7 linked regions of the Sus scrofa genome follow. The protein of the gene in region 3 purifies or fractionates together with the protein of the main gene of each other region. This does not show direct contact. Links are inferred from orthologs where the notes say so. Each region holds a gene or a part of one and is shown on either strand. Other genes may lie near its edges. The genes, in order: EZH2, E2F1, SIRT1, RECQL4, BRINP1, HIC1 and FOXO3.

Region 1 (4,130 bases), on a different chromosome or scaffold from region 3:
CAAATCCACTGGTCATTTCTAATTAACCCCAGAATGCATGAGATCAGAGGATTTTTTTATTGCTGTTGATTTTTTAAAAAATCAACTTTCTTAATTACCGCTTTTTAGGCCAAGATGGAAACTAATTCGTTCTCCTTAAGCATGCCAGCTCAAAGGATGGAAGATATCCTAGAAAGCCTCAGTGTAACCTGGGGAAATCTGCCTAAAAATTTTAAGTGGCCAACACAAAGACAATCACCTATATGTATGTGTGCAAGGCAAAGCTGATATCAAAGTATTACAGCTTTTTTGTGTGCCTAACTTCACTAAATCAACAAGTGTGGTTTTTTTAATCACTGCTACTTAAATACATTTTCAAATCAAATAAAAAATTAAAAACCAATTCCCCCAAAAAAACTTAAAAATAAATCTTGTGGCAACTACAAAGACAGTAATTGCCAAATATAGTGTACACAAACAAGTAAGGAAAAACTGCAATTTCTTATCCTAAAAGATCCAAATATCTACCAAAATCTCCCTAACTAGCTCATCTTATAACAAGAGGCCAGATTATCAGGAGGACTTTTTAATAGATAATTACTAGCAACTAATACAGTAAACAATACTTAGGACAGCACCTGGAATGTCTGTTCAGCGGTGTCTAACACTGCAAAATATGTAATAAAGACTTTTACACTGCATTTCTTTGTCTCCATATTTATGAAACCGTAAGATGGTAGGGTGAACATTAGATCATCAGATAGAACAATGCAAATCGGTGCTATGTTCCTAAATTCCTCTTCTTTGAAGATATTCCCCTGCCACAAAGACTAGAATTTAAGATGCCATTTTCCTAAGTGTTTTCAAGAACTTAAGCATTAAATTCCCAAATACACCACCACAAAGAGAGAAAGGATTCTTTACATCCAGGACTAGAACCCTACCTACTCCTAACTTTAGGTAATATGAAAAGGAAATTAAAATAGGTCATAAATACTTTCATTTTCTTGAAATAAAATTATCAATAAACTTGTTAGGATTACACACTTGTTCTACATTTTATTTCCAAACATAAAATAGTTGCTAACGGTGATGAATGAAGAGTAGTGGAAAATAAACTCCAAACCCCCTAGCTCCCTGGTGGTCTAATGGTTAGGATCCCACACGCTCTTAAAATCCCTTAGAAGTATAGCCTACATTCAACTGTATCAGCATTAGTGTTTTTTAAAGATTTTCTTAAATGGTGTTTTATGTGACATTAAAAAGCCACAAAATTAATCCGATAAATGACCTTTAAAACCCAGAAAGTAAACCTTGAAGTAAAATATTTTTAAATACCAAAGACATATCTTTGTTTCCAAATGACTTAAATTTTACAGATCCTGTGTGACAAACAAAGGAAGTTTAGCTTAACTGTGGACAGCACACGTTCAATTTCTTAGGCAACAAACATTTCTGTAGTCAGTCTTTTCTGACTCAACAAAGCTATTGTTCACGGAAAACAAGACCAATTAATGACGAATTGCTAACCAGACCACCTAAACACACATTTGTCATAAACATTTTGCTTGATCAATTCTTTCTACCATCGCATCCTCATTCAATCCCTGGGGATTTGGAGAATAATCTCTTACTAAATGACAGTTGATTTCGTTAGCACCTGTCGCCAGTCTCAGATGTATCACATAAGTTGGCCGAAAGAGCATGTAATTTTTTAAAAAAAATATGATTCTTTAGAAAGCGGGAACTCAGCAGGCGTGAGTTCACCAAGTTTTCATTTCAAAATATCATGCTTCTCGATTCCTCCAATTTTCAAAAAGGGACCTGATGGCACCGACTTTTTTTGGGGGGGTGGACAATGACGCGGAAACTCGACGAAAAGCCCTCCGAAACGAACAAAACCGAGCGGGGGGAGAACGGCTCGACCCTTCCTCAAACTTAACAGAAAGCCAGCCGAGGGGGTAAAGGCGGCCGGGACCGCCTCGTCAGAGCGGGTGGAGACGAGGGGTTCGGGGGTGCTTTCCGGGGAAATGTCAGACCCGCAGCCGCTCCGAGTTCGGTTCCCAGCGCCGCCCCGGCCCCCTCGGCCCCGGCCGAGCCTGCGCGCTCGCGGGGAGGGGGCGTGGGGCCCAGCCCGCCCCCTGCGCCGCGGCCCGCGCTCCCCACGCCCCTCTCCCGCCCGCTGTCAGGCCCGGGTGTCACTGCCCCTTCCCCGCGCCGAGCTCCCCCGAGACACAGTCCGTCCTTTGTCTGAGTGTGCACTCGGTGCCGAGGTCCCACCAACTTGTGTGCGTCCCGTCCCACCCGGGCGCTCCCGCCGCGACGCTCCACACAAAGGAGACAGGGGCTCGGGCGGCCGGCCCGCCCCGAGCACCGGAGCGCCCCCAGCCCAGCCGCCGCGCCTCCCGAAGGGCGGGCGCGCGAGAAGACCCCTCGGCTCGCCCCCCAGGGCGCCCGCCCGGGGTCCCGCCTTAGGTCGCCAGGTGCGGCGCTGCCCGCCCCCGCGGTCGCGCGGGCCAGCCCAAAGCCACGGCCCCTTCCGAGGGGTCTCCTCTCACCCCTCCAGCCAAAGCGGCGCCCCGGGAAAGCCCGCTCTGGGCGATACCCGGAGGGGTGGCGGGGATATCCCGGCGCCGCCGCCGCCCCTCACCGAGCTTCGGAGCCCCGCTGGCCGGCCGGCCCGACAGCGGCACGCTACCTGAGCCCCGCGCCCCAGCCCGCTCCGCTCCCGCGCGCCGCTCCCGCGCGCCACCACCGCCGCCGGGCTTCCACCGCCTTCTGCGTCCCAGTGGGTGTCGGACGCTCCCGGACCAAGCGCCAAACCCGGCAGCCCAATCGCCATCGCTTTTATTTGGCCCCCCCTGTCCAACTAAGCGCCGCCCCGATTGGCGGGCCGCGAGGCGGGCTCCCGTCCAATCACAAGGCCCGCCGGGCTCCGTGGCGGCGAGCCAGCCCCACGCAGAGGAGCCCGCGGGACTCAGCCGGGCCGGGCCGGCGGCGCGTGCGCGCGAGCGGGCGGGCGCTGAGGGACGCGGCCGCCGAGTGGAAGCGCTGCGCCGTCTCTTTGTTCTTTCGCCGAACGCACGGCGCCTCTCAGGAAGGCGGTGGGTCGGCTGGCTGGGACGATGGGGCCTCTGCAGCCCGAATCCCGGGCCGCGGGCGGGAGGCGGCCAGGGCAGGATGGCGGGAACCGACCAGGGGGCGGGACGGCGCGCTCGCGGCGCTTGGCGGGAACCGCCGGCAGCCTCAGAGTTCCCGGGCCGGAGGGGCGGGGCGGGGCCGATAGCCAAGTTTGAACCAGTTCAAAACTCGGGGGTGGTAACGGTTTCAACTGCCGCGCTCTTTTCCCCGCGCGCGGAGCCGAAGCGCAGGCCGGCCGGCGGACGCGCGCGAGGTACCCCGATTGCCGGCCAGTTACGCTCTGCGGTCCGGGCTCCAATCTGGTTCGTTTCGGGCGAGGAGCCCCGAGCCTTTCGCGGTCTGGTCGGACTGGCGCGCCGCCTCCGGTGCGAGCAGAGCGCTCTGCCAGCTACTTTTTCTGCTAAGCCCCTCAGTGGCTTGGCCCGACTCAGATCCCCTGGCCCGCTGGACTTTGGTTGGTCGAGGCCGCAGTGCCCATCTCCTTAGAAACCTGGGAAACAGCAGCCCTACTGTTATTTCAGTTTCCTCATTCTGAGCGCCTTGTTCGGCACCTTCCAGCGTTTGTAGTTCCAAACACGTGTCAACGTTAATCATTTATCAGGGGTGAGTGGGGTTCACTTGCCTCGAGCTAACGCCTCTGGAAAAAATTGGGATGATTGCAGCATCTTTCAAGTGTTAAAAAAAAAAATGATCTGCGGGTGAGCCTGTATCAACCCATAAGAATTAGAAATATTCTGTTTAGGATGCAGTTTCCCCTTTTAATTTATCTGACAGTGAAGGTAAGGTTATTCTGAATTTTCTTTTTTTTCTTTTTAGGGCCTCATCCGAGGCGTATGGAGTTTCCCAGGCCAGGGGTGGAATCCGGCCTACACCACAGCCACAGCAACTCAGGCTCCAAGCCGTATCTGCGACCTACTCCACAGCTCAACAAGGCCAGGGATCTAACTGCAACCTCAGGCATGGTTCCTAGTTGGATTAGTTTCTGCTGCGCCACGGGATCTCCTGAATTT
Region 2 (4,289 bases), on a different chromosome or scaffold from region 3:
GCTCCCAGTTGAAAGAGGAAGCAGATAGAGAAGTCCAGTGTGCAGTCAGTGCTGGGCAAGGGAAGAAGTAACTCCAGTACCAGAGGGCTCCCTGGAAGAAGTGATATTTATACTGTGGCCTAGGGATCTCATTCTTTATTATTATTATTATTATTTTTAGTACTAAATCTTATTTTTTTATTACTCAATGAATTTATCACATCCGTAAGGGATCTCATTCTTGATTGCATCTTAGCTACCTTTTATTGTTTGTTTCACTTTTGGCCACCCTGAGGCATATGGAGTTCCAGGCCAGGAATCAGATCTGAGCCACAGTTGCAACCTACACCACAGCTGTGGTAAGTCCGATCCTTTAATCCACTGTGCCAGGCTGGGAATAGAATCTACATCCTGGCACTACAGAGATGACACCGATCCCATTGTGCCACAGAGGAAACTCCAGCTACTTTTTTTTTGATGGGCCCATCCCCACCAGATGGCAGGCAAGTTCATAGAAATTATCAAGCCTTTCACATATCTGCCCTCAGCGCTGGCACAAAGCCTGGCACAGAGGAGAGGACAATATAACTCAAATCAGCTGAACTGAGCAATGAGAAGTGGCTGATGGGGAGGTCCTGTGGCCTCTGGTTGCTCAGCACACTCACCTCCTCCCTTTGTAAAATCTAACATGGAATTACCTTAATAGTTGAAATCTGTGTCATATGTAAACATTTGTTACCTCAGTTTCCCTCCAGCCCCTTTCACTAAACTGTTAGATCCTTAGGGCCAGGAGTCAAGAAGGGGGCACAGAGCAGACTCTCAAAACATTTGTTGGGGTTCCCAAAGTGGCTCAGCGGAAATGAATCCGACTAGGAACCATGAGGTTGTGGGTTCGATCCCTGGCCTTGCTCAGTGGGTTAAGGATCCAGCGTTGTGGTGAGCAGTGATGTAGGTGGCAGACAGGTCTCAGATCTGATGTTGCTGTGGCTGTGGCCTTGGCTGGCAGCTACAGCTCTGATTTGACCCCCAGCCTGGGAACCTTCCAGGGGGTACCCTAAAAAGCAAAAAAAAAAAAAAAAAAAAAAAAAAAAGGTTTGTTGAATGAACGAAGGAATCAGTTCAAGCAGAAGCTGTGCTTTGGTTGTTGAAGCGATTCCAGCTACAGGAGGCTTTGGAGAAAAGCCCCAAGCTGTACTGGGTCAGACATTCCTCTCCATTTTCTGGCAACTCCTTCTGCTTGTGCTCTGGGTGGAAGGGATAAGGTGGGCGCAGGATTTGAAAGTAAATGGCATTGGTGGGGCAAGTTGAGGAAAGATGTGGCTGGGGTTTTGTAGGTGGGCTTGAGATCCTGGAAAAGAGAAACTGCGTTTGCAGTTTCTAGAGTTATGGCCTGAGGGTGTTGGAGCACCCACAGGTGGGGGTTCTGGGAGGTCACGTGGGGTCTGTGGATAGCGATCTGTGCACAACACACGTTCTGTTGTAAAAGCCTCCACTAAAGGGTATCAACAGGATGGGGTGCGTCGAAGAGGGGGTGGGGCCACCACTCCCCACACAGGGCCGTCCCCTCTAGGGGCGGGGAGTGCGAACGCGCCTGGCACCGCCCCGACAAAGCCTGCGCGCGCCCCATCCTGCGATTGGCGGTGCTTCCTCGCGCCGCCGCCCCGTCCCGCCCTCCGCCGCCGGTCCGGCGCGCTGCAACCAATGGGCGCCGTCGCCGTCGCCTCCGTCACAGCCAGGACAGCCAATAGGCGCAGCGCTCGGCGGCTCGTGGCTCTTTCGCGGCAAAAAGGATTTGGCGCGTAAAAGTGGCCGGGACTTTGCAGGCAGCGGCGGCCGGGGGCGGAGCGGGATCCGGAGCGGGATCGAGCCCTCGCCTCGGCCTGCTGCCATGGGCCCGCGCCGCCGCCGCCGACTGCCACCCGGGCCGCGCGGGCCGTGAGCGCCATGGCCGTGGCCCCCGCGGGCGGCCCATGCGCGCCGGCGCTGGAGGCCCTGCTCGGGGCCGGCGCGCTGCGGCTGCTCGACTCCTCGCAGATCGTCATCATCTCCACCGCGCAGGACGCCAGCGCCCCAGCGGCCCCCGCCGGCCCCGCCGCGCCCGCCACCGGCCCCCGCGACCCCGACCTGCTGCTCTTCGCCACGCCGCAGGCGCCCCGGCCCACCCCCAGCGCGCCGCGCCCCGCGCTCGGCCGCCCGCCGGTACGGACACCAGGGACACTGGGCCAAGTGCGCTGCCTGGACCCCGGCGTAGACCCGGGCGGGGCGCTATGTTTGGCCTGGAGGCGGCGAGGGCGGGGGAGGGTGGGTTGAGGCGCCCAGGCTGGGCGGTGCCGAGCTTGGGTTGGGCCTTCGGGCTCCGCCCCGGGGTGCAGGGTGACCTCGGGCCAGTCCTTGTTTGCTCCTCTGTGCTCTGGGCCTCAGCTTCTTCGCTGGAGCCTGTCTAGGGTCAGACTCAATGATAATAATGGCCCACGTGTATTCAGCTGTTGCTGACTGCCTGCCAGGCCTCTGGCAGACTTCAAGGCAGCTAAAACTCACATCCATGCTGTGAGCTAGCTCTGTGTTGTCACTGTGCCCATCTGAACTGTGCCCAGAGAGGGGAAGTGGCTTGCCCCCTGGTCACAAGGCTGCAAGTGGGATTTGAACTGAGGCCTGCTGGCTTCAGACCAGAACTTGTGGCTGGATGGTGGGCACGGCTGCTTGGGGAAGTCAGGGGAAAGTTCTGGGACCAGAAAGTTGAAGGGCCATTGAGGAGACCCTCCTTCCTGCCTGGATGCTGGACTGCCAGGTGCAGGCCTAGCCCTCCGGGCCTCTGGGGACAGGCCGCCTGGCTGGGAGGCCTTCTCTGCAGGGGCGGGGTGGCTGGGCCAGCTGCTGATTCCCCTCCCTCTGCCTGTCCTTCCATCTGCCACCCTCCACCCTCCCAGACTCTGGTTGCCATGGAAGCTCATTAATCAGGCAGGCAGACCCCTGGCCCCAGTGGAAGTACTGGGTGGGCTGGGCCTCTGGGAGCTGGAGAGGAGGCCCCCAGTGCTAGAAAAGAGTAAATGCCCCAGGGAGATGCCTTGATAAAGTGCTCCCTGAGCAGCAAGAGGCTTAAGACCAATTCAGATTGGGGGGGGGCTCAGAAGAGACCGCTGAGTTACAGGGGGAGAAGGGGGTGGAGGCCTGGAGCTTGGACCTGTGGGCCGCAGGACAGGGTGTGGAGACCAGTTTGACTGGCGCAGCCTGTGGGTAAGGGTAGGGCATGGATGGGCAGGCAGGGGCCAGCCAAGCAGTATGGGGTCTCAGCACAGGGCTTGGAGCAAGTGGGAGGGGAGAGGCAAAGCCCAGGGCAAGGAAGTAGTATCTGCCCAATTACTGTTGGGGGACTGGGTGGCAGCTGGTCCCTGAGGCATCCCACCAAGGTTCCCCCAGTCCCCCTGGCCCCTTGCCCAGTGTGGCCTTCCTTCCGGAATCACTAAGATGCTAATAATAACAATAGCAGCCACCATTATTTTGAGACTGTTTTGTGTGTTAGGCCCTGTGCCAAGCACTTTACCCAATTAACTCATTTAACCCTCTCAACAACTTTCCCCTTTTCCAGGTCGGGAAGCTGAGGCCTAGAGAGGTTAGAACCTTCCCTAGTTACTCAGCTAGTGAGTTGTGAGACCAGTCCAGATTTCCTGAGTGGTTAACCACTAGGATGCCTCGCTTCCTGGAGATGCTAATAGAGGTTGATGAAAGCACAGGACCCCTTCCTCCTAATGAGTGAGGGGGATGGAAATTGTACCGGGGTGGGTCGCTTGGCTGGTCTCCTGCACCTCAGCAACCTGTTACTGCAAGTACCAGCTTGGGGCCTGGACAGGTAGCTTCCATTTAGCTAATTGATAGTACTTGGCTGTGGGGCCTGCCCTCGGCAGTCTGAGCTCTAGGTTCAGAGGGACAGCCAGAGACTGGGCCAAAGACATGCCCTGTGCTCCACTCCTTATGGTGCCGGGGGCAGCCTCAGTGGGCCTGAGCATTCCCTTCATTCAGCACTTGTTGGTGAGTGCCTATGAGGTACTAGGCAGAGGCAGGTAAGGAGCCTCTGCCCCTCAGTGCTTAAGGGCTAGTAGACATTTTTCGCCGTGGGCAGGGGTGGGGGCTGGTGCTGTCTTGGAGCTGAAGTTGAGAAACATGGGCCCAGGTTTTGCCTTGAACATTGTACCTTTCGGTAGCCACTGGCCACCTGAGCTCTGGCCTCCACTGACCCTCGGCACTGGCATTTGTTTGGGGCAGCCCATGAAACAAGCTACAGACTCAGCTTCTGCACAGGTGAGCATTCACCG
Region 3 (4,229 bases):
AAAAAAAAAGACCATTTCACACAGAGGGCCCAAGTGTAAAGGCCCACAAGTGTGAGAAGGACCTGGTTATTTGAGAAATACCAGAGGTCAGCTTAGACAGGCCCATGCTATTTAGAAACAAAAGCAGTTCAAAGCTCTACCTTCCCTAGAAACAAGCTGATAGTAAATTTCGTTAAACACCTAAGAACCTCATCACCAGACCATAAGGGGACAGAGAATTTTATTTTTAGTTGACTTAAAAAGAAAATACTAAAAAAGATAGCTTAGGCTGTGAAAACCATACCTATCCGTGGTCTTGGAGTCCAGTCACTAGAACTGGCATGTGAGGCTCTATCATCCTCATCACTTTCACAAGAATGGAAACCATTGGTGACGATTTCATCACCAAACAGAAGGTTATCTGCAAAAGAAGCCAAAAGTAACTCAAGGCTGATGAAACAATCTACCATTTAAAATGTATGAATAAGAGAGTTCCTGTTATGGCACAGTTGGTTAAGAACCCAACTAATATCCATGAGCAGGTCGATCCCTGTCCTCCTCTGAGGGTTAAGGATCCAGAGTTGCAGTGAACTGTGGTGCAGGTCAAAGATGCAGCTCAGATCTGGCATTAGTGTGGCATCGGCTGGCAGCTGCAGCTCAGATTCGACCCCTGGCCTCGGAACTTCCATATGCTGCAAGTGCAGCCCTAAAAAATAAAATAAATAAATAAAATGTATGAAGAACTGTAATGATTATGATGTAAGAATTTCCAATGAATAAAGCACTTGGGAGTTACTACTGTGGGGCAATGGGTTAAGCCTGTACCTGCCTGGGTTGCTACTGAGATGCAGGTTGGATCCCTGTCCCAGTGCAGTGGGTTAAAGAATCCCATTCCGCTGCCTTAGTATAGGTCTCAGCTGTGGCTTGGATTCAGTCCCTAGCCTAGGAGCTCCCATAGGCCCAGGTTCGGTCATAAAATTTTTAAATAAACAAAGCACTTAACATTCACACTGAGTGTGTAAAGAATGCCTACTGAATCAGCTTGCATCATTCCCAGGAACAGTATATCCTCATCTTTAGGGATCCTGCCCAGAATCTAAGTTAGAGTTCATCAAAATTGAGCAAGAAATTAAGTCTACTTAAAAATACAAAAAGTAATAAATAACCTAGTTAATTGGAATTTGTCGATCACAAATAATAGAATTCAGGAGTTCCCGCTGTGGTGGAGTGGGTTAAGATCTCAAGTTGTCGCTGCAGTGGGGAGTGTTGGATCCCTGGCCCAGGAACTTCGACATGCTGCAGGTGCAGCCAAAAAACTCCAAAAAACTTATTCAAAGGTGGTGCAAATATAACTACGGCAACTTGCATATATGTACATGTAAAAATACATTTATAATACATAATACTAAACATACACTAAGATATTTGCACTATTCATTCCCACTATTAAACTGTTCCTTGAAAACAGGGGTCGTTTTTCCACTCCAGTCCCTAATGCACACGTCGTAAGCTTTACACAGGTCAAATGGCCCAGATTGTATTTACCAATAAAAGATTAATAAAAACACGTCTATCCAGCTAGAAAACATGACACACTCAAAGATGACGAGACATATACAACCATCATATACTGTATCTGCTTTAGTAGGTCAGAAAAGCGTCAACTCGTATTTCGGGGCTACATACACACACACAGACACTTAATCTAAAAACCACTATAAGAATATGATTTAGAGAAAAAACACTATTCACACAAAGTATTCTAAAACCTATTTCTCTCCTATGCCCTCTATTAACTGCACCAAAGTGATGCCTGTAGAAACAGCTATGCTCTTCAAATTTTGCAGGTTGTGACTTTAGAAACAGCTTTACTCTTTTAAATTTCAAAACAAGTTTATAAATAAAGGCCCTCAAAAACAACAACAAATTGCACAGGTGTCAGTTTGCAAAGTCAACTGCAAATGGTTGTTATCAGGGACAGTCAAAAGTTGCAGGTTTAACTGTGCGGGGCGAGGGGAGAAAGGGCGGAGAAGCAAAAAACACTTAACAAAAGCAATATGCTAAAAGAGTAGGAGGAAAGAGAAACTTATTTTAAAATCCACTGCGAGGCTCGCCAGCCCCGCGGCTGCGCAAAGCGCAAGGCCGCCGGGGCGGGCCTGGGACTGAGGGGAGGAGGGCGGGGAGAGGGCGAGGGAGGGATAGAGTCGACGGGCCGCTCCTGCAGCCAGGCCTGCAGCCGCGGAGGCGCGCAGCTGAGGGCCCTGGTTGGGAGGGGGACGCTACAAAGCCAGCCACGAGCCCCCAGCCTGCCCGAGACTCCCCCACCCCACATCAGGAGGGGCCCCGAGAGGAGGCGGGGGGATGCGCAGTCCCGGCCGCCCGCGCCCTGCGCACCTCGGTACCCAATAGCCGCCGCTGCCGCCGCCTCTTCCTCCTCCTCGCCCTCGTCGTCGTCGTCGTCGTCGTAGAAGTCGTCGGCCGGGGGCGCCTCCCGGGATAGGCCCTGTAAGCCCGGCCCATTGTTTCCTTCTCCTGCCGCCGCAGCCGCCTGGGCCTCCCGCTCCCCGCCCGCAGCGGTCTCCCGCCACAGCACCGCCGCCGCCGGGCAGCCGCCCGCCGCCGCCGGCAGCTCACGCTCCAAGGCCGCCCCACCAGGCTCGCCCGGGCTCCGCCCGACGCCCGGGCCGTCTCTCCGCGGTTTCTTGCGGAGCGGCTCCCCGGCGGGGGGCGACGGGGCCTCCCTCTCAGCCGCCACCGCCGAGGGGGAGCCGCCGGGCTGAAGGGCGAGCGCCGCCTCGTCCGCCATCTTTCAACTGCCTCTCTGGCCCTCCTCCCTCACCTCCTCTGCTCCCGCTCGACTCGCGGCACTGGCGCCCCCGCGGCTCCGGCTGCGGGAGATTTAAACCCCGTCACGTGACCCGCCCCTCCTCGCCCCCGCCCACCCGCAGCTCCCGCCACCCACGCGGGCCGGACCACAACACGGCGGGTCACGTGGCAAGCGGAGGCGGTGGGGGCCAGGAGCAAACGCTGCAGGGTGCTGTGGCCCCACCCCTCCGCTGCAGGCGCTTCTCTCAGCCAAACTTCTCTTTCAAGCTGTCCTCAAATCACTGCTGCCCGGTTAGCTCAAGTTTTGGTTTGCACTGCGAATTTCCACTTCTGCCTAAAGTGCACACCTTGCTCTCCTCACTTAGTCTTTTCTGGACTTAACGTTAAGGCTTAAAACTTAGTTCCTGAAAGGCGATAGGGAATGAAGCTGGCCAAATAAGCTAGGTGATGGGTCTGTTTTGTTAACCTGTATGAGTAGAGGCAAAAGGACACACACCTCACTCTTCACCCTCCTCAAACCGTTCTGGCGGGTACTCTTCAGCTCCTATTTTCTGCTTGCTTCTCTCCTTAGCCGGTTTATTTTTCTCCCTCTCTCCATTACTCAGAGGGTGATATACATTGTTAGACCATTAAAAGCATGTATCTGCCCTAGAAAGAGGTTTGACGGTGGGGGGCCGGGTAGGGATCAGCCTGTTCGATTTCAGGCCCCAACTTAGCTCCAAATGTGTGTGATTTATCTTTTCTGGGCTTCAAAATGAGTATATTGGGCCAAGTGGGGCCTCATGAGGAGAGCTGAACTGAGCATGACTTGGCCCTTATAAACATCGGTTTGGTTTCGAACTTGAGGTCTTTCTGATTGACCTTGAGCCATTTATTTAGCCTTTCTACACCCACTGTCCTAATCTCTGCAATGGTAGAGTTGTGCTGAGAATTAAGGTAGCGGGTTCTCTTGTGGCACAGTCTTGGGATCTAGCGTTGTTACTGCAGCGGCTTGGGTCAATCCCTGGCCCCAGAACTTCCACATGCAGCAGGTCAGGCTGGGAAAAAAAAATAGTTACATAAGATTGCTGGATATAAAGTGAGGGCTAAATAGAGCTAAAATATTAGTCCTGCCCTACTTGAAGGCCTTCTACTTTCCACTTTTCCTGACATTCCAGAACTCTTGTGACTTCATAGCCTACCTTAACTAAGGATGTGTTATAGTATGGCCAAGTTTGGTAGGCATCTGCCTCTGCAGCATGGCGTTTCTAGCCACTGAAGGGACCTCTCTGAATTTACAATAAATCAGCCCTTAAGCTTAAAGTGGGTCCTGCCTCTACCATGCCAATTACTTGTTTGAACTTAAGAAAGCAATCTAAGATGTTTCCTCCTTTAAAAAAAAAAGTTATAATTTCGAAAATGTATCTCCAATGTCCCATCTAAAC
Region 4 (3,923 bases), on a different chromosome or scaffold from region 3:
TGACCTCAGCACCCCCAGGGGCAGCCTTGCTGAGCCTGTGTCTGCAGCACTTCCTGGGAGGCCTGGTCACAACCACCACCTTCACCCTGATGATGCGCTGCAGCCAGTTGGCACCCAGTGCCCTGCAGGTGAGGGTACGTGGCTGGGACATTCGGGCCACGGGACTGGAGTCCAAGCAGGTCCTGACTGATCTCCACAAATCTCCAGGCCACACACTACAGCCTCCTGGCCACTCTGGAGCTGCTGGGGAAGCTGCTGGTGGGCGCGCTGGCCGGAGCCTTGGCTGACAGCCTGGGGCTGCGCTTCTGCTTCTTCCTCTTCCTCGCTCTCTCAGCCACACCCATGCTGTGCCTAGGCCTTGCACCCAGCACGCTGGCCTGAGCCGGGTGGCTGGCCTTGTCAATAAAGTGGAGTGGACCCGAGGCCTGTGTCTGGACTGAGATGTGCTTGGTTGTCCTCAGACTGTGGGGTTGTCCCCACTGGAAGGAAGGTCCCTAAAAAAGACGTGAGCATCTTTTATTCTGCTTTAAGGCCTCCTTGCCCCCGCGCCCCGGCAGTAGGCTTTGTCCAGAGGGGCTACACAGTGTTCTGGCCGCCGATGCCTCATCTCTGCTGTGCTGACACGGTCCCCCCAGCAGGCCACTCAGCGGCCCCACAGCAGGATCTCCTCTGTGGCCAGGTGCATCAGGGCGTGGAAGTTCAGGTGCAGGTATTTTCTCCAGAAGCGCCGGTCCCGCCCGTACACCTGGGCTGGATAGCGGGGACTCCCTGCGGTGGACAGAGATGTGGCCCTGGGGACTCTGGCTGCCAGCCCCTGCCTTTCTCCAGGCTGTGCCTCCCAGGTCCTCACCAATGCCGTGGAAGACGCGGGCTACAGCCCTGCCTGAGAACTGCTGCTCAGGCCACGAGGACAGCAGGTGGCGGATGTCCCGTCGGATCTGAGCCTCCCAGTCCTGGAGCTGCCCGTGGGGGACACATCAGTCTTGCCGCGGCACAGGGCAGGGAGTGAGTGTGTACCCGTGTGCGCACAGTGCACGCACGCTCATGCCTGCCACGGCCTGACCTTCCCTGGAGATCCTGGCACTCACCGTGGCCTGGCCTGGCTCGGGGCCCTGCTGGTCCATGCCCTCTGGACCTGCTTCCTCTTCCTCAAAGTAGCGGCGGAGCAGGGCCTTGAGCCTGCCACTGCGTTCCTCATCGGGCTGCTCCAGGCACGGCCCACAGCTGGGGAAGGCCACGCTGGGGTGGCATGGGCTAGTTAGGTCTGCCCACCTGGGGGTGGGTGGGGTGGCCCAGGCCCCGCCCACCTCCTCCAGCACCTGTGAAAAGCCCAGTAGGTGTGGTGCAGGCGGGCCAGGGCTTCTCGCTCTCGGGCCTGCACGCGTCCATGTAGGAAGTCACAGATCTGATCCTTCTCCTGGGCGGTCAGGTCCCCGGGGGAGCGCAGGTGGAAGGCTAGCACCTTGAAATCCACTAGCACCCCCGTGCCCCGAGGCAGACCTGCCAGACAGGGTGTTAGACATGGGCAGGTGGGCAGGTAAGCCCACCGCAAGCAGGGCTGGGGGGCAGGCGCACCTGTCCTGGGCTCCGGGTCCCACTGTAGCTGCCGGAGGGCCCGCCGCACGGGGGCCAGCTCCCAGCCCATGGAGTCTGCCAGCTCCACCACATCGAACTCCACAGAAGCTGTGTTCTCAGGGCTCTGCTGGGCTAAGCACGCAGCCAGGGGAGGACACCTGAGCCAGGGAAGGGGGCATGTGATCGGAAGCCTGGTCCTTGGTCCCTGTCCCCAGCCCAGGGGGAAGTGTAGTCACCTGCGGGCCAGGGCCTGGAGCTGGGTGGGGCCCCCAGGGCAGCGCAGGTGGCAGCGGGCATAGGTGGGTTCCAGCAGCTTCAGCCAGCGCTGTGGGTGCAGCTCCAGGTAGCAGAGCAGGGTCTCAATGGCTAGGGGCAGAGCAGGGCTCAGGGGACGTGGGGACATGGGGACGCCCCGGCCACACACGGCCCCTGTTTCTCACCCTCCTCGGGCACATCCAGGGCCTGCACCATTGGCTGCACTGGGAGTGCCCGCTCGTGGCCCGGGCACCGGGCTGTGAGCTCCACGTGGGGGTGGTCGGCATCCCAGGGGACTGTGGCCGCCGAGCTCTCCTGGCTCTCGCCTGGCTCAGGCACCAGGGGCTGCTGAGCGTGGCCGCAAGCAGGGAACACGTGCTGCACCAGCTTCTTCACGGCGAGGAAGTCGATGGCGTCGGCGTGCACATGTCTGCGCAGCTCCCACAGGTCCTCAGCCTGCAGCAGAGCAGCCACCGTGAACGAAGGGCTGCAGTAGGGGGGGGCGCTGGGCAGCTCCAGCGGGTGGATGCTCACCTGGGGCCTCAGGAAGAGGTGGCAGTGTGCGGGCTGCCCGTCGCGCCCAGCCCGGCCCACAGCCTGCACGTAGCTCTCGAAGCTTGGGGGCAGCCCCAGATGAAGCACGGCCCGCACGTCTGGCCGGTCCAGCCCCATCCCGAAGGCAACCGTGGCCACCACCACCCGTAGCCGGCCCTCCATGAAGGCCCGCTGCACCCGCCGCCTCTCCCGGCTGCACATGCCTGCATGGTAGGCTTCAGCCACGGCCTCTGGGGCCCAGCCTGCAGGGAGAGGCACAGATGGTCAGGTGGGGAGCGTGCCTACAGCGGTCTTGTGGGGCACAGCCCTGCCCCGCTACCCCAACCTCCGGGTCCCAGGGCCCAGGTCTCACGCAAGCAGGTGCGCAGCAGGGCAGCGACACGCTCGGTGTCCTCTCGCCTGTTGCAGTAGATGATGATAGAGTCCAGGGCACAGAAACGGTCACTCTGCAGCAGTGTCACCAGAGCCTGCGAGAGAGCACGGTCTGTCTCTGCAGCCAGGCAGCAGGACCTTGGCTGGGCCCCTGTACCCACTTACCTGGTCTGGGTCCCTGTCCATGGACACAGAGAGGTGCAGGTTGGCAGGGATGGTGCCTTGCCCCCTGAGGACAGACTCTTCAGCCACACCCAGGTGCTGAGCCACGTCGAGGGCAGTGCTGCGCGTGGCCGTGGCCGTGAGACCCAGGAAGCAGCTGACACCCACGCGTTCCCGTAACACCTGCGTGGAGGCGGGTGGTAAGGACAACCACCCCACCTTCCCTGGCCCACTCACCGGTCCCCTCAAGGCTTACCTTGCAGACTCGCAGGTAGCAGGGCCGGAAGTTGTGAGACCACTGAGAGAGGCAGTGGGCCTCATCGATGCAGGCGAAAGCAACCGGGGGCAGCTGGGTGAGGAAGGCAAGCCCCGCTGCTCCTGCCCCAGCCAGCGCCTCTGGCGACAGCATCAGCACTTGTACCTGGGCTGATCGAGCCTGAGGGTGGCAAGGTCAGGACAACTGCACAGGGCCTCCAGGGGACTGCTCCCTCTGCCCATCTGGCCCTTAGGCCCCCTTACCTTCTGCAGGGCAGAGTTCCGCTGCTTCTTCGACATCCCTGAGTGGATGCAGGCCGCCTTCAGGCCTGGGGGCAGGCCAGACACCTGCAGATACAGGAGCATGATGCCACCCACCCTGGCCCTTCCCCACACAACTCTTAGGATGGTTTGGCCTGCCAACCACTGCTCTCTCAACTTCGGGCCCTCTGAGGAGAAGAAACCTAGATCCTGGGTCCCACGACTCAGGGTTCAGAGCCACCTGCGGGCCTGATGCAGGAGCACCAGGAATAGACAGGTAGTGGGGGGGGGGTGTCATTCCCCCAGTGCCGTTCCTCCTGTTGGGGGGCCTGGGGCTGTGAACAGCCAGGCTCTCTGCAGCGCTGGGTGGGGCAGAGCAAGAACCAACAGCCCAAGTAGGTTGACGGAGCGGTGGCTACCCATTCTCACCTTCTGCATGTGCCCAGGGGCCCTGTCCACCCACCTGGTCATCCATGAGTGACATGAGG
Region 5 (3,500 bases), on a different chromosome or scaffold from region 3:
AGGCGGCCCCTCCTGGCTACACTGACCTCCAAAGCCATGCGATCTGCTCCCAGGAGCTCCTCACTCCTGACACACCTATGATAAGCAGGTCACAATTACCTGCATAGTTATAGGGTACATGCCTGGATTTCCCACGTACCCTATAACCCCAGGAGGAAAAACCCAACTCTACACCTTAACTACTGTATGGCCTTGGGTGGCTAACTTTCCTCCCCTGTTCACTTTTCTTAACCATGAAAAGCAGGACACAGCCAAGTGACCTGAAAAGTGACTTCCAGCTGTGAAAGTCTGAGAATTCTTCGAATATCTGCATAAGTATCTACATACCTATGTACATATATATATATGCATATATACAGACATATTTGTACATATACGTGTGTTCATTTATTTAGACAGATAGACAGACACGCACACACATTCAAGAATCAATATAACTACCTGTGACTTCTCTCTTCAGGGGCTTCCTATGTGCTGTGCGGCATAATCCCCTCTGTCTTCTGGGTACCACAGAAGCAATACATCACAGGACCACAAACCTGATTATGCTATTCACCACTCCACTCAGTGGAGATTTATTGAGTGCCTACTTGTTGACCGCTACTAGAATGACTGGACCCCCCCAAAGTGAGAGAGGCCGGGGGCCCGGGAGATGTCACTGAATATTCCGCCAGCCATCCTAACTCCAGTTTGTTTCCTTCTATAGACTTGGCACGAGGCCATGCATGCAGTAGTACCGTGAGGCTCTCTACCTGAATTCTCCAAGTCCTTGTAAGCTTCGGCCCAAGACTTGGCCATGTTGGCCAGCGTGTACTCCATGATCTGGATGTCGGTGATGGGGCAGTTGCACTGCGGGAACTCCTCCGCACACTGGCATCTACACTGGCTGTCCTGGCACACGTACTCCCCCTCACCGTTGCACATGATGTAGCTCAAGGCTGACTGGACAAACTTCTCTTGCAGATACTGAGGGAAGATGATCTGAAGACCTGATTGAGAATAGTGAGAAGGGGGGAAAAAAGGTTAGAAAAGGTGTTTCATTAACAGTTCCGAGAGGTGATGGGTGGAAACCTGAAGCTGCTGGCTTGCTCCTTGTGTGTTGTAATCGCACGATTTCTGGGCCTGCCTAGATGCACGCAGGGCATAATTGGCGAGGCCTCCAGTTGCCTTGCTTCTACTTAAACTTCTCAGGTCGTGACCTTGGCCATCCCTGCACTGCATAAACTCTATTCCGTGATATTAGGACTGAGGCTGGAGCCAGATCTGTTAATATACTTTTTCCATTTGGGGAGAAAATCCTTATTGAAAGCACAAGATTATTGTTTATTTTTCCTTATTTCCTTCATTTCTTTCCTTCTAATATTTATAAACCCTATTTATGAAGCCCAAGTCCTGAGCTAGGCATGAGGTCTATCAAGATGAAAAAGACATGATCTTTGCCCTTGGGGAGTTTGCAATATAAGCAGCAGGGGTGGGCATGTACACACGTCATCATAACTAACACCGCTGTAGAAACCCAGAGCAAAACTGGCCTTATGAGGCAACAAGACAGCAGAAGCCTGCAAATAAGATTGCTGGGTTAGCAGGGCAAACTTTGAGAGGAGGTAATATTTGGGCTGGTTGAAAAGTGAATACGAGATTGTAATGTAAAAAAGATCAGGTAGCACATTCTAAAGTGGGGCGGGGGCAAGAAGGAAGACTTAACGTGTCTGGGAATTGCTGATGAAGGACATGAATTTGGATGGGTGGAGGTGCAGTGCTGGAGGAGAATAGGTTTTAGAAAAGGGCAGATGCCAGAGGGCAAAAGGCACGTCTTTATTACGTGCGAAGGAACTTGGATTTCCTCTATGACTAACAGGGATACTTTGGTAGTTTTCCAGGGTAAGAAGATATACATAAAGTTATAGAATTTAAGAGGACCACTGTATCACACACACCCCAACATCAGTGGAGAATGGCGTCCAATTAATTTTCTCTTCTTTGCTTAATGAGGAGGGCAAAACCCACCAAAAGGAAATGAGTAGCTCATGTTTATAGGAGGAATTCTCTGGACCACAACGCATGATCTTTTCTCCACACTTGACTAATCCAAGTCCTAATCTTGAGGACCAATGATGGAGAAGGACTTATCTGGGCAGGCGTGCTGCTCTTGTACCTATGAAATGTCAGCACAGCAGGCCACTGCTGATGGTGCCCCGAAACAAAAAGACAACGCTGGGCTAAATTGATTCGCACAAGCACTTTCACCTGGGACATTCTTCTCCCCTTCTTTTGGAGGTGCTGACAGTTTTAGCCAGCAATGCCTATATTGGGGTTTTACTACCCACTGTGTAAAAGAGAACTGTGATATTTGGATTAACTTTTTTTCTCATTCATGCTTCAGGGACATCCCTAATCCTCCTCATCAGGGATTTGCTGAATAAACTCAGCATTTCTCTCGCTCTCTACTTCACAGTTGCGTTTCTAGATTTTTATCTTTCTCTGGCTTTCAAATTACTTTAAAAAAAAAAAAAAGCCTCATCGTTTCTACCTTTCTTCATACGGCAGCTAAAAAAGACTATTTTCAGAGGGGCCGTGTGGAAAAGGAGACTGGGCCTCCAGCGTGTCTTCTGGTAGGAATCCATCATCCAGTAGTTAAGAGCTGGGCATTGCTAGAGTCAAGTTCCTCCACTTAACTACTGACGTCATCCTATTCAACCTCTCCAAGGCTCCGCTTCCTCTTCTCTAAAACAGAGATGCTTTTGATACCGACGTTAGAGGGTTGCTGAAAGGACGAAGTGAAAGAATTCTTGAGAATTGTCTAGAACAATTCCTGACACAGAGCAAGCAAACAATAAATGTGATTTATTCCCATTTTGGATGACAATAGTGATGATGCCATTCCTCTGATGAAAGTGTGTGTGTGCTTTTTTTTTTTTTTTTAAGTTTCAACCCAAATTTCAGGATAAATAAAGGAACAATAGCTGTGAGTATTTAATCAGAAGAAGAACATATCCCGAGGGCAGTGTTTAGGTCCTTGGAGAGCTTCTACAAGGAGGAGGGGTTGGGATTCTGTGCCTGTTGCACCAACGCTGGTGGGAACGCTAATTAGAAAGATAGATCCTCTGTCAATATGCATGGAAGGCGGAAGGTTTTCTAACAGACAGAGGTGTCCAGGCTGGGAGATGTTCCACCGCAAGGCTGGGCGAGTTCCACCCCAATGAGCAAAGAGTCCAAACGAATTTGAATCATTGCTTAGAAGGGCTCTTGTATGATACAGATTCCTAAAGGTCAAGCAAACCAAATCAAGCAGTAACGTCCTTCTACACCAAGTCAACGATTTTTTCAGAGTATGCATTATTGAGTCATTTTATCTGTATTGCCATTTTTGCTTCCAGAGCAAGATGTATTTTTAGCCGATCCCAATCCCCTATAGGCATCTGAGTCTATGGATTGGGGTTAAGTTTCAGTTGCTTAAAGAAACTCTATAGACTATATTCTCAGTCCTATTTTTCAAGCTT
Region 6 (4,167 bases), on a different chromosome or scaffold from region 3:
AGCGCCGCCTCCTCCTCCTCCACGTGCGCCTCCACGTGCGCGTTCAGCTGCTCCGAGCTGGGGAAGCCCTTTCCGCAAGGGATGCACACGTACAGGTTGTCACCGAAGCTCTCGGGCTCGCCGTAGGCCAGGTGCGGGCACGGGTAGCCCTCGAGGTGGCCCGCGGGCGGGCTCGGGTCCTCGCTGCTGCCCGTCTCCTCGCTGCTGCTCTTGTAGTCGTCGCCGTCGCCGCCTGCGCCAGGCCCGTCCAGGCTGCCGGGGTAACGCGGCGGCGGCGCCAGGCCGAGCGGGGGCCCCCCGGGCGAGGCGGCCGGGTCCCCGCCGCGCTCCTCGCAACGCTCGCTGGGGGAGCCGCGCTCGCGGCCCAGGTCGTCGCCGTAGCTGCCCAGGCCTGGCTCGTGCTTCATCCAGCGATAGAGGAGGCTGGGCCCGTCGGGGCGGCCGGGGGGCTCGGGTCCCGGGCTGCCACTGCCGCGGAACGGGTCCGGAGGCGGTCCGGCCTCCTCCAGCTTCTGGAAGGGCAGCGGCGGCAGCGGTGGAAGGGCGAGCGGCGGCTCCTTGTAGGCTGCGGGGCCGGCGCTGGGAGGGCTGTCTGGGCGCGGGGGCAGTTCGCGCTCGCCCGGCGGCCGCTCGGGGGGCGCGGAGCCCGGCGGGCTTTTCTTGGACAGGTCCAGGCCACAGAGCGGGGAGCAGCGGCGCTCGGGGGCGCACAGCGCGGCGGCCGGGCCGGGGCCCGAGGCGTACAGCTCGGCGCAGTGCGTGTTCACCGCGGCCTCGGGGCCCGACGGCGGCTCGGCGGTGGGCGGCGGCGGAGGCCCGGCCGGGGACGAGTAGCAGGTCTGGATGACGGGCGTGGCGGCCCGCAGGCCCCGGCCCGGCCTCCCGTAGGGCGCGTAGCCGCCGCCGCCGCCGCCGCCGCCCCGCAGGTGGCAGTACTTGCCGTGGCGCTTGAGGCGCTTCTTGCACAGCGCCACGAGGTCGGGGATTTGCAGGTAGCTGGCGGCGGCCAGCACGGCGCCCAGGCTCGGCTCGGCCCCCGGAGCCACCGCCGCCGCCGCCGCGGCCTCTGCGCCGTCAGCCAGACGGCCGGTGTAGATGAAGTCCAGCACCAGGCGGAACACGGCCGGGCTCACCATGTCATGATCCAGGTTGAGCAGGTTGTCATGCACCACCAGGGACTTGAGGTAGGCGCTGCTGGCCGCCAGCACATTCTTGTGCGCGCGGAAGAGGGCGTTCTGCACCACGATGATCACGTCGCACAAGAAGCCCTTGGTGCGCTGGTTGTTGAGCTGCAGCAGCAGCTGCCTCGAGTGGCCGGGAGCCTCCATCGTGTCCAGCATCGTCTGCCCAGCACAATCTCCTGCAGGGACACACACCGGCCGGGTCAGAGCCGCAGCCAGCCCTCGCCGCCTGCACCCAGCCCGGCGCTTCTCCCCTCCACTTCCCCTTCCCCTCAGCTGGGCAGGGGCATCGAGCACCGCGGCCTGGGCGCTGGCGGAGGATCCGCGGCCTCTGGGAGTGGGAGCCTGGGCCGGCCGGCCCGGACCAGGAGAAGGAGTCGAGACTGGCTGGTGGAGAAGAGGCCAGGCTGGCCTGCGCCCCCGGGCCCGGATGCCGCCAGGCGCACGGCCTGGGTTCTGGGGGCTTCTGAGGAGAAAGCTGTTGGTGCGAAGTCACCCTTTGGGAAACAGTTACCCGATTTGAGGAAAATGTCCGCTTCAGGAAAAGTCATTCAAGGCCGAGAAGTTTGCCCAAGTGGGATATAAGGGAGCCGCGTAAAAAAGCGCCTCCCGCCTCGGGAGAAGTTGCCCCAGTTGGGGAAGTGGTCCGTAGGAGGGGAGCGCGGTGCCCGTCGTGGCGCCGCCCTGGCCGGGGGCTGTCAGGCCCTCTCCGTTGGGCCCCGGGCGGCGGCCGGCGCGCGGGGAGCGGAGGCAGCGGCTGCCGTGGCGGGCAGAGCACGAAGGCCGGCCCGGCGCGGGGAGGGCGTTATATCGGGGCAGGAGGCTGAGGCAGGAAGCAGGTGGGGGGAGGGGGGAGCCACGCAGCTCCCAGGGGAGGGAGGGGGCAGCGCCCCGGGCGGGCACGGCGCACAGCCGGCTGCGGCCCTGACCCTGGCTGCGCCCCACCCGCGTCCCGGCCCTGGCCTCGGCCTCCTCTCTGCATTCGCCGGCCCGGCGCCTCCCTCCGCAGCTCCCCTCGGCCCCTTCTCCACGGGAACTCCGCCGCCCCAAACTTGGGGAAAAGTTTCCCAACTTCGGGCTGGCCGGGAGGAGCGCGCCAGGCCCCGTGCCTCGGTCGCAGCTTTTCCTCTCGGCCCCCAATTTCGGCAGAGCCAGGCGCTGCCGGGCCTGAACCGAGCCCAGAACTCCCCGGCCGTCCGCTGCCCGCCCGACCCTTCTCCCCGCCTGGCCCGCAGGGCCTCGCGGCCCGTTACCTGAGGCCGCAGCCCAGCCGGGCTTCCCTCCCGGCGGCGGTGGCAGCTCCTTGCCGGCGCCCCACCCGCCCCGCTGCCAGGCGCCGCGCTGTGCCAGGGCAGCGCCCCTGCCAGCCCCGCCCGCCAGCTCCCCTTCCCTTCCCCTCGCCTCTGCAACCCATGTGCGGGCAGAGCCGGGCCCGGGCCGCTGACCCCGCCATGAACCCGGCGCAGAGTAGCGTCCCGGCGGTCCTGAGTTCTCTAGGAGCGACACCCGGAGCCCTGAACGCCAGCCGCGTTGGGGCGCCCGCGCCGGAGGATGCGCCCGAGGCGGCCAGCGCGCGAGGACCGGGCGTGTCCGGGTCCCCTGTCCCTCCCGGTCCCCAGCCCGAGGACCCACCTGGGGGGCATGTCGGAAGCCCCGGGCCCGGCTGCCGGCGGATCCAGGGGGGACGTGGCTGCGCTGCGCTGCCCTCCGCCCTCCGGGCCCCCGGTCGGTCTGTCCTGCTGGTCCGTCCTCCCCGCGTCCTGGTCGCGTCTCAGCCCCGCTGCTCTTTCCGCACACTCTTATCTGGAGCGGCCCGGGCCGGCAGGCGCCGCTGCAGCTATGGCGCCACCTCGCGGCGAGACTTGGCGCGGCACAGCCGCGACCTCCCTCCTGCGCACCTGGGCTGGAGGATCGCAGATGCAGGGCTGGCGGAGGCGGGGGCGGGGGGGGCTGTTCGCAGGTTCAGCCTCCCAGATGTGCCCATCTGGAGACCCAAGCCTCGGACCTGCGAGCCCCACAAGCCTCGGGATTTTGAGCTGAATGATCCCATGTACATATTTCTAAATTCTCAAATTGCCCCAATTCAGAGAAGTCTTGCCCACAAGGAGGAGACTCTGGTGAAAGTAGATGGTGTAAGAGAGGTTCCGAAAATCCTAAGGAAGAAAAAGATAGACAAGATAGTAGGGTACCCCCTAGATATTCCTGGGTGGGACTGTCCGTTTGTACCCACCCACCCCCTCAACACACCCTCCCTCACTCAACCCTGTGGGTATGGTATGCACAGAATAAACCCATCTGCACCCAGATCCTCTCTAGGCATTGACACTCGAAGGCGCTCATGTTTGCATACACACCTGCCCCCTTACGAAGTCCCGGCTTTCTGGCATACTCAGGGGGCTGCCATGTAGAGCCCTCTGTGACCTGGGCAGAAGTGGTACCCAAACAGTGCACGCTGAACTTGCATATCTCTGGAGGGACCCCAGGATGTGTGACAGGGGAACGGCTGGACAGAGCCTCTTGGGTGGTCCCGCAGAAGAGACCTAAGCTCCCAGATACCCTGTGCGAGCCATTTTTGAGGTACGCGCAACGGTCTTACAGCAGGGCCTGGAGCCCAGGATCCCCCGCAGGGTCCTGCACCCCCAAGTGAAGGCCCATTTCCTGCAGGTGACGCCCCTTCTAGGAGGGAGGGGACCCCTGCACTGGTGAGCGGGCAGTGGCACAGCTACTCCGGAAGTGTACCGCGCCGCCCCGCCATCACGCCAGGCCTGAAGCCAACGCCTGCGTGGCTGAGTGGATCTCCTCAACCCACGCTCCGCCTCCTCCCCGCACCTCCTGACCCCCGCCCACACGTGGAGGGTGGGAGTGGGTTCCGAGAAAGCCTGCAGCTTTTGATTGGCTGTGCCTCCCTCAGCCGCGGCGCACGAGAAGATGGGGCGCAGAGTTACCATAGTAACCGATGAGGTTCGCCCAGATCGCGTCTCTCCGA
Region 7 (3,500 bases), on a different chromosome or scaffold from region 3:
ACTTGACGGCTCCCACTCAGGGTCCTGTGACTTTAGTTAGCAAGTCAGGAAGTGGGGCTGGAGAATACAACAACTATTGGCTTCAATCAAAAAAAAAAAAAAGTCAGGAGTTCCTGTTGTGGCTCAGTGGTTAACGAATCTAGGAACCCTGAGGTTGTGGGTTTGACCCCTGGCCTTGCTCTGTGGGTTAAGGATCTGGCATTGCTGTGAGCTGTGGTATAGGTCACAGACATGGCTTGGATCCCATGTTGCTGTGGCTCTGGTGTAGGCTGGTGGCTATAACTCCAATTAGACCCCTAGCCTGGGAACCTCCATAGAGAAGACAAAAAAAAAAAAGTCAGAGTTTCCCATTGTGGCTCAGCAGAAACAAATCCAGCTAGTATCCATGAGGATGCAGGTTTGAGCTCAGGCCTTGCTCCGTTGGTTAAGGATCCTGTGTTGCTGTGGCTGTGGTGTAGGTCAGCAGCTGTAGCTGTGACTCGACCCCTAGCTGGGAACTTCCAAATGCTTTGGGTGCAGCTCTTCAAAAAAAAAAAAAAGTCAAATCAAAGAAAGCCATGACAGAAGAAGGCTTGGGAAGCTGGGCTGCTAAATTTGGGAGAAATGAGTTTTGAGACTATGACCTAAGGCTTGCCTTGTGAATTTAGGAGAAACTTCCATAAAGTGATGGCATGAATTCAGTGTCAAAGTAAAGAATCTATATTAGGCCACATATGCTCCCAGCTGAGAGGAGCAGTTCATTCCAAAGCAAAATGGAAATTGTACACTCAGAAACCAAGCCTCCCTCAGAGGCCTTGGCTTTCTTCAGGATGTTTCCTCTCTTGCTCTGGTCATACTGAGCTGGTTTAGTTTCAGGAAAATTTGGTGACTTCCCATATATATATTTTTTTTAACTTCAGAAATATTTTCTCAAAAAAACTTCCCTCAAAATGTTTTGAGGTGACTAAACGTCCCTGTTTCCAATAGGGTATAATCACAAAATGGGTAATCTTAAAAGTAGGTAGTAATCTTAAAAATATGTGTAGTCTCAAAAGCAGTTTATTATCAAAATAGTAATGATTCATTAAATACATTTTTAAAAGTTAAGTATTTAAATCTCCCTTAAAATGTTTTTATACAATCTTTTAGAATTACACACACACACACACGAAAGGTCTGCTCTTCAGCTAAGAGGAAAACCTACACTTGAAAAGTCAGACAAAAACCGACAGCACATTTTCTTCTCTCAGTCTTTTCAGTGAGCTAGAATGTGGATGCCTTACAACGAAACCAAAATTAAAACCTCCTTGGGTCTTTAGAAGCCACAATCACATTTCTCTTCTTAAAGGAAGACAAACTATTCTTCTGAAAGCCAAATATCTGAATTTCTCAAGGCAAATCTCCCCCATTCCGAGTTTTGGCAGCATGAAAGTGTGTCACCCTATTTGGCTTCTGTTGCAGTCTTTTTACCATCTCAAGGGCTATTAAATGACTGGAAACAGATGTCTGAGAACCATTAGGGGCCTGCTTCTGCCTGGGAAAGCAGAGAAGCTGAGCATCACAACACTCGACATTCCCTTTTCTACAACTATGTGTGAGCTGGATGGCGCACCGCAGGGACCCTGGTAATTCCTTCACCAGGGCAGAGGGTTAAACAAGGCTCAGCTTTTTATGGCTTTGAATCCCACTTCTCTTTCCCACCACTTAAAGAAGAGTAGCTTGCTGACATTTAAGAGAAAAAAAAAAAAAAAGAAAAAAGAAAAAAGAGGACCCGGGGCATAGAACAGAGCCCCCAAACATGGGAAGTAGAGTTGTGCAAGCCTGTGAGCAAAAGACCTGATGCTCATTTTGCTACTTGAAAGGGAGAGTTGTTTGAGGGCAAGCTTGTATATTATCTGCTCCTCTGGCTCCAGTTCAGAGCATTTCCCATTTTCACCATCTAGAGATAATTAGAAAGAACAACTACGGTTCAAGCCATTTCAGAAATTGGGATTCTGGGTCTAGCTGTGTGACCCTGGGCAAACTACTTAACCTTCCTGGGCTCCCTGTTTACTCATCTGTCTGTCAGTATGTTTACCTAATTACACCATACATATTTCAAACCATTGTGGTTTTAAAAGCACTTTTGCACATTTCAGTGTTTAAGGATTCCATTTTAGGGCCTTTTTTGGGGGGAGGGGAGCTGCGGCTGCAGTGTGCCGCAGCTTGATGTGGGATCTCAGTTCCCAGACCAAGGACTGAATGTGGGCCACAGTGGTGAAAGCACTGAGTCCTAACCACTAGACCACCAGGGAACTCCCAGTGCATCTGACGCTTGCAATAACCCCATTAAGCAACAGGGGTTATTATCCTCATGGTATAAAGCTGGCAACTGAGGCTCAGAGGCTAAGTGACACACTTCCGATAGCAGCCAGAAAGCAAGAGAAGTGGAACCGAATCCTCAACTTCTGATTCCAAGCAAATGCTTTTCTTTCCATATCATGTTGCATGATCTTTCTGGTTCCAACAGAATTAAAATGCCACAATTTAAAAAAATCTGTCTCCATTCACAACCCATGTCACTGTTTGGAATCTGACATCTTTTATACTTCGGGGAAAACGAAGCATGTGAAAAAGTGCTCTCTCACATAAACACTTCTGTTTTCAATTGAATTCTTTTGCTCTTTTAAATACTTAGATGCTAAGTGCTAACTAGTAAAGATGCTTAGTACTAGTGGTGAAGAATCTAACAGGTCTGGCTCCTGGTAGACATACTCCTGTATGAAAGAGTCCAGAATACACAGTCTACAGTTATATTAGAAGTACCCAAAAACTGTTACTTTACTGAAAAAGAAAGATATAAAACCCACAGCATGGAAGATCGACAATGGCAGAGCTGGACCTGAGACTCTAAGAAAGTCCACTGCTGGGTCCTTAACCTTGACATTTGTGTGGCCTAAGGTCCCCTTCCTCCTTTCCCTTGTCTCCTCATCCATCCATCCAATAGGGGGACCTGTGTCATAGGTCAGTGAGGGTGACTGGACGCAAAGAAAAACGAAAGCCTCTGGTAAAAGTCCTGAGCTGTCAGCAAACTGTGGGGAGGGGACCCTGACGGCCCTATTTGTTTTGCAGGTACAACTCAGAAAGAACCGGGTGGGAGCAGGTTACCATGCACCAGGTATACAAAAGGCGGTTCCCTACCCCCACCCCGTTACCACTACGCCACAGCACTGGGCACTGACCTGCTCTGCCCACTTCCCCTTTCCTCAGTGAGCCTTCAGCCTGGCACCCAGCTCTGAGATGAGGCCTGCTTAGCACCAGTGAAGCTCCCCACGTTCAAACCAACAACGTTCTGTGTGGAGATGAGGGAATCAAAGTTAAAATCCAACCCGTCAGCATCCATGAGTTCGCTACGGATAATGGACTCCATGTCACATTCCAAGCTCCCGTTGAACATGTCCAGGTCCAAGTCGCTGGGGAACTTCTCGTGGCCCATGACGGGAAGGTTCGCACTCGTTGAGTACAAGGAGGAGCCTGAGAGG

Evidence for each region.
Region 1: the proteins of SIRT1 (region 3) and EZH2 purify together in Homo sapiens (affinity purification with western blotting; 3 studies listed by BioGRID and IntAct, with this or other methods). This does not show direct contact. The link is inferred for Sus scrofa from reciprocal best matches to the Homo sapiens genes SIRT1 and EZH2.
Region 2: the proteins of SIRT1 (region 3) and E2F1 purify together in Homo sapiens (affinity purification with western blotting; 3 studies listed by BioGRID and IntAct, with this or other methods). This does not show direct contact. The link is inferred for Sus scrofa from reciprocal best matches to the Homo sapiens genes SIRT1 and E2F1.
Region 4: the proteins of SIRT1 (region 3) and RECQL4 purify together in Homo sapiens (affinity purification with mass spectrometry; 3 studies listed by BioGRID). This does not show direct contact. The link is inferred for Sus scrofa from reciprocal best matches to the Homo sapiens genes SIRT1 and RECQL4.
Region 5: the proteins of SIRT1 (region 3) and BRINP1 purify together in Homo sapiens (affinity purification with western blotting; 6 studies listed by BioGRID and IntAct, with this or other methods). This does not show direct contact. The link is inferred for Sus scrofa from reciprocal best matches to the Homo sapiens genes SIRT1 and BRINP1.
Region 6: the proteins of SIRT1 (region 3) and HIC1 purify together in Homo sapiens (affinity purification with western blotting; 4 studies listed by BioGRID and IntAct, with this or other methods). This does not show direct contact. The link is inferred for Sus scrofa from reciprocal best matches to the Homo sapiens genes SIRT1 and HIC1.
Region 7: the proteins of SIRT1 (region 3) and FOXO3 purify together in Homo sapiens (affinity purification with western blotting; 4 studies listed by BioGRID and IntAct, with this or other methods). This does not show direct contact. The link is inferred for Sus scrofa from reciprocal best matches to the Homo sapiens genes SIRT1 and FOXO3.

What each region holds. Positions count from the first base shown.
Region 1 is NC_010451.4:109,383,686-109,387,815, reverse strand, and holds the start of EZH2 (histone-lysine N-methyltransferase EZH2), read right to left. Parts: upstream 2,801-4,130; 5' UTR 2,678-2,800; intron 2,654-2,677; exon of another isoform or gene 2,630-2,653; intron 1-2,629. UniProt on the Homo sapiens protein: Polycomb group (PcG) protein. Catalytic subunit of the PRC2/EED-EZH2 complex, which methylates 'Lys-9' (H3K9me) and 'Lys-27' (H3K27me) of histone H3, leading to transcriptional repression of the affected target gene.
Region 2 is NC_010459.5:37,187,319-37,191,607, reverse strand, and holds the start of E2F1 (transcription factor E2F1), read left to right. Parts: upstream 1-1,489; coding exon 1,490-1,494; intron 1,495-1,549; coding exon 1,550-1,661; intron 1,662-1,785; coding exon 1,786-2,178; intron 2,179-4,289. UniProt on the Homo sapiens protein: Transcription activator that binds DNA cooperatively with DP proteins through the E2 recognition site, 5'-TTTC[CG]CGC-3' found in the promoter region of a number of genes whose products are involved in cell cycle regulation or in DNA replication.
Region 3 is NC_010456.5:71,089,738-71,093,966, reverse strand, and holds the start of SIRT1 (NAD-dependent protein deacetylase sirtuin-1), read right to left. Parts: upstream 2,801-4,229; 5' UTR 2,786-2,800; coding exon 2,374-2,785; intron 401-2,373; coding exon 284-400; intron 1-283. UniProt on the Homo sapiens protein: NAD-dependent protein deacetylase that links transcriptional regulation directly to intracellular energetics and participates in the coordination of several separated cellular functions such as cell cycle, response to DNA damage, metabolism, apoptosis and autophagy.
Region 4 is NC_010446.5:290,206-294,128, reverse strand, and holds the end of RECQL4 (ATP-dependent DNA helicase Q4), read right to left. Parts: coding exon 3,899-3,923; intron 3,523-3,898; coding exon 3,439-3,522; intron 3,356-3,438; coding exon 3,176-3,355; intron 3,103-3,175; coding exon 2,923-3,102; intron 2,853-2,922; coding exon 2,738-2,852; intron 2,628-2,737; coding exon 2,365-2,627; intron 2,287-2,364; coding exon 2,016-2,286; intron 1,942-2,015; coding exon 1,812-1,941; intron 1,734-1,811; coding exon 1,576-1,733; intron 1,501-1,575; coding exon 1,320-1,500; intron 1,240-1,319; coding exon 1,089-1,239; intron 983-1,088; coding exon of another isoform or gene 960-982; coding exon 851-959; intron 769-850; coding exon 644-768; 3' UTR 501-643; downstream 1-500. Other genes in the region: MFSD3 (major facilitator superfamily domain-containing protein 3), read left to right, coding at 19-134, 208-381. UniProt on the Homo sapiens protein: An ATP-dependent DNA helicase which unwinds dsDNA with a 3'-overhang in a 3'-5' direction. Does not unwind more than 18 bp of dsDNA. May modulate chromosome segregation. The N-terminal domain (residues 1-54) binds DNA Y-shaped DNA better than ss- or dsDNA.
Region 5 is NC_010443.5:259,384,105-259,387,604, forward strand, and holds part of BRINP1 (BMP/retinoic acid-inducible neural-specific protein 1), read right to left. Parts: intron 990-3,500; coding exon 753-989; intron 1-752. UniProt on the Homo sapiens protein: Plays a role in neurogenesis and brain development. May suppress cell cycle progression in postmitotic neurons by inhibiting G1/S transition.
Region 6 is NC_010454.4:48,166,664-48,170,830, reverse strand, and holds the start of HIC1 (hypermethylated in cancer 1 protein), read right to left. Parts: upstream 2,801-4,167; 5' UTR 1,733-2,800; coding exon 1,696-1,732; intron 1,361-1,695; coding exon 1-1,360. UniProt on the Homo sapiens protein: Transcriptional repressor. Recognizes and binds to the consensus sequence '5-[CG]NG[CG]GGGCA[CA]CC-3'. May act as a tumor suppressor. Involved in development of head, face, limbs and ventral body wall.
Region 7 is NC_010443.5:74,738,173-74,741,672, reverse strand, and holds part of FOXO3 (forkhead box protein O3), read right to left. Parts: coding exon 3,236-3,500; 3' UTR 3,201-3,235; intron 1-3,200. UniProt on the Homo sapiens protein: Transcriptional activator that recognizes and binds to the DNA sequence 5'-[AG]TAAA[TC]A-3' and regulates different processes, such as apoptosis and autophagy.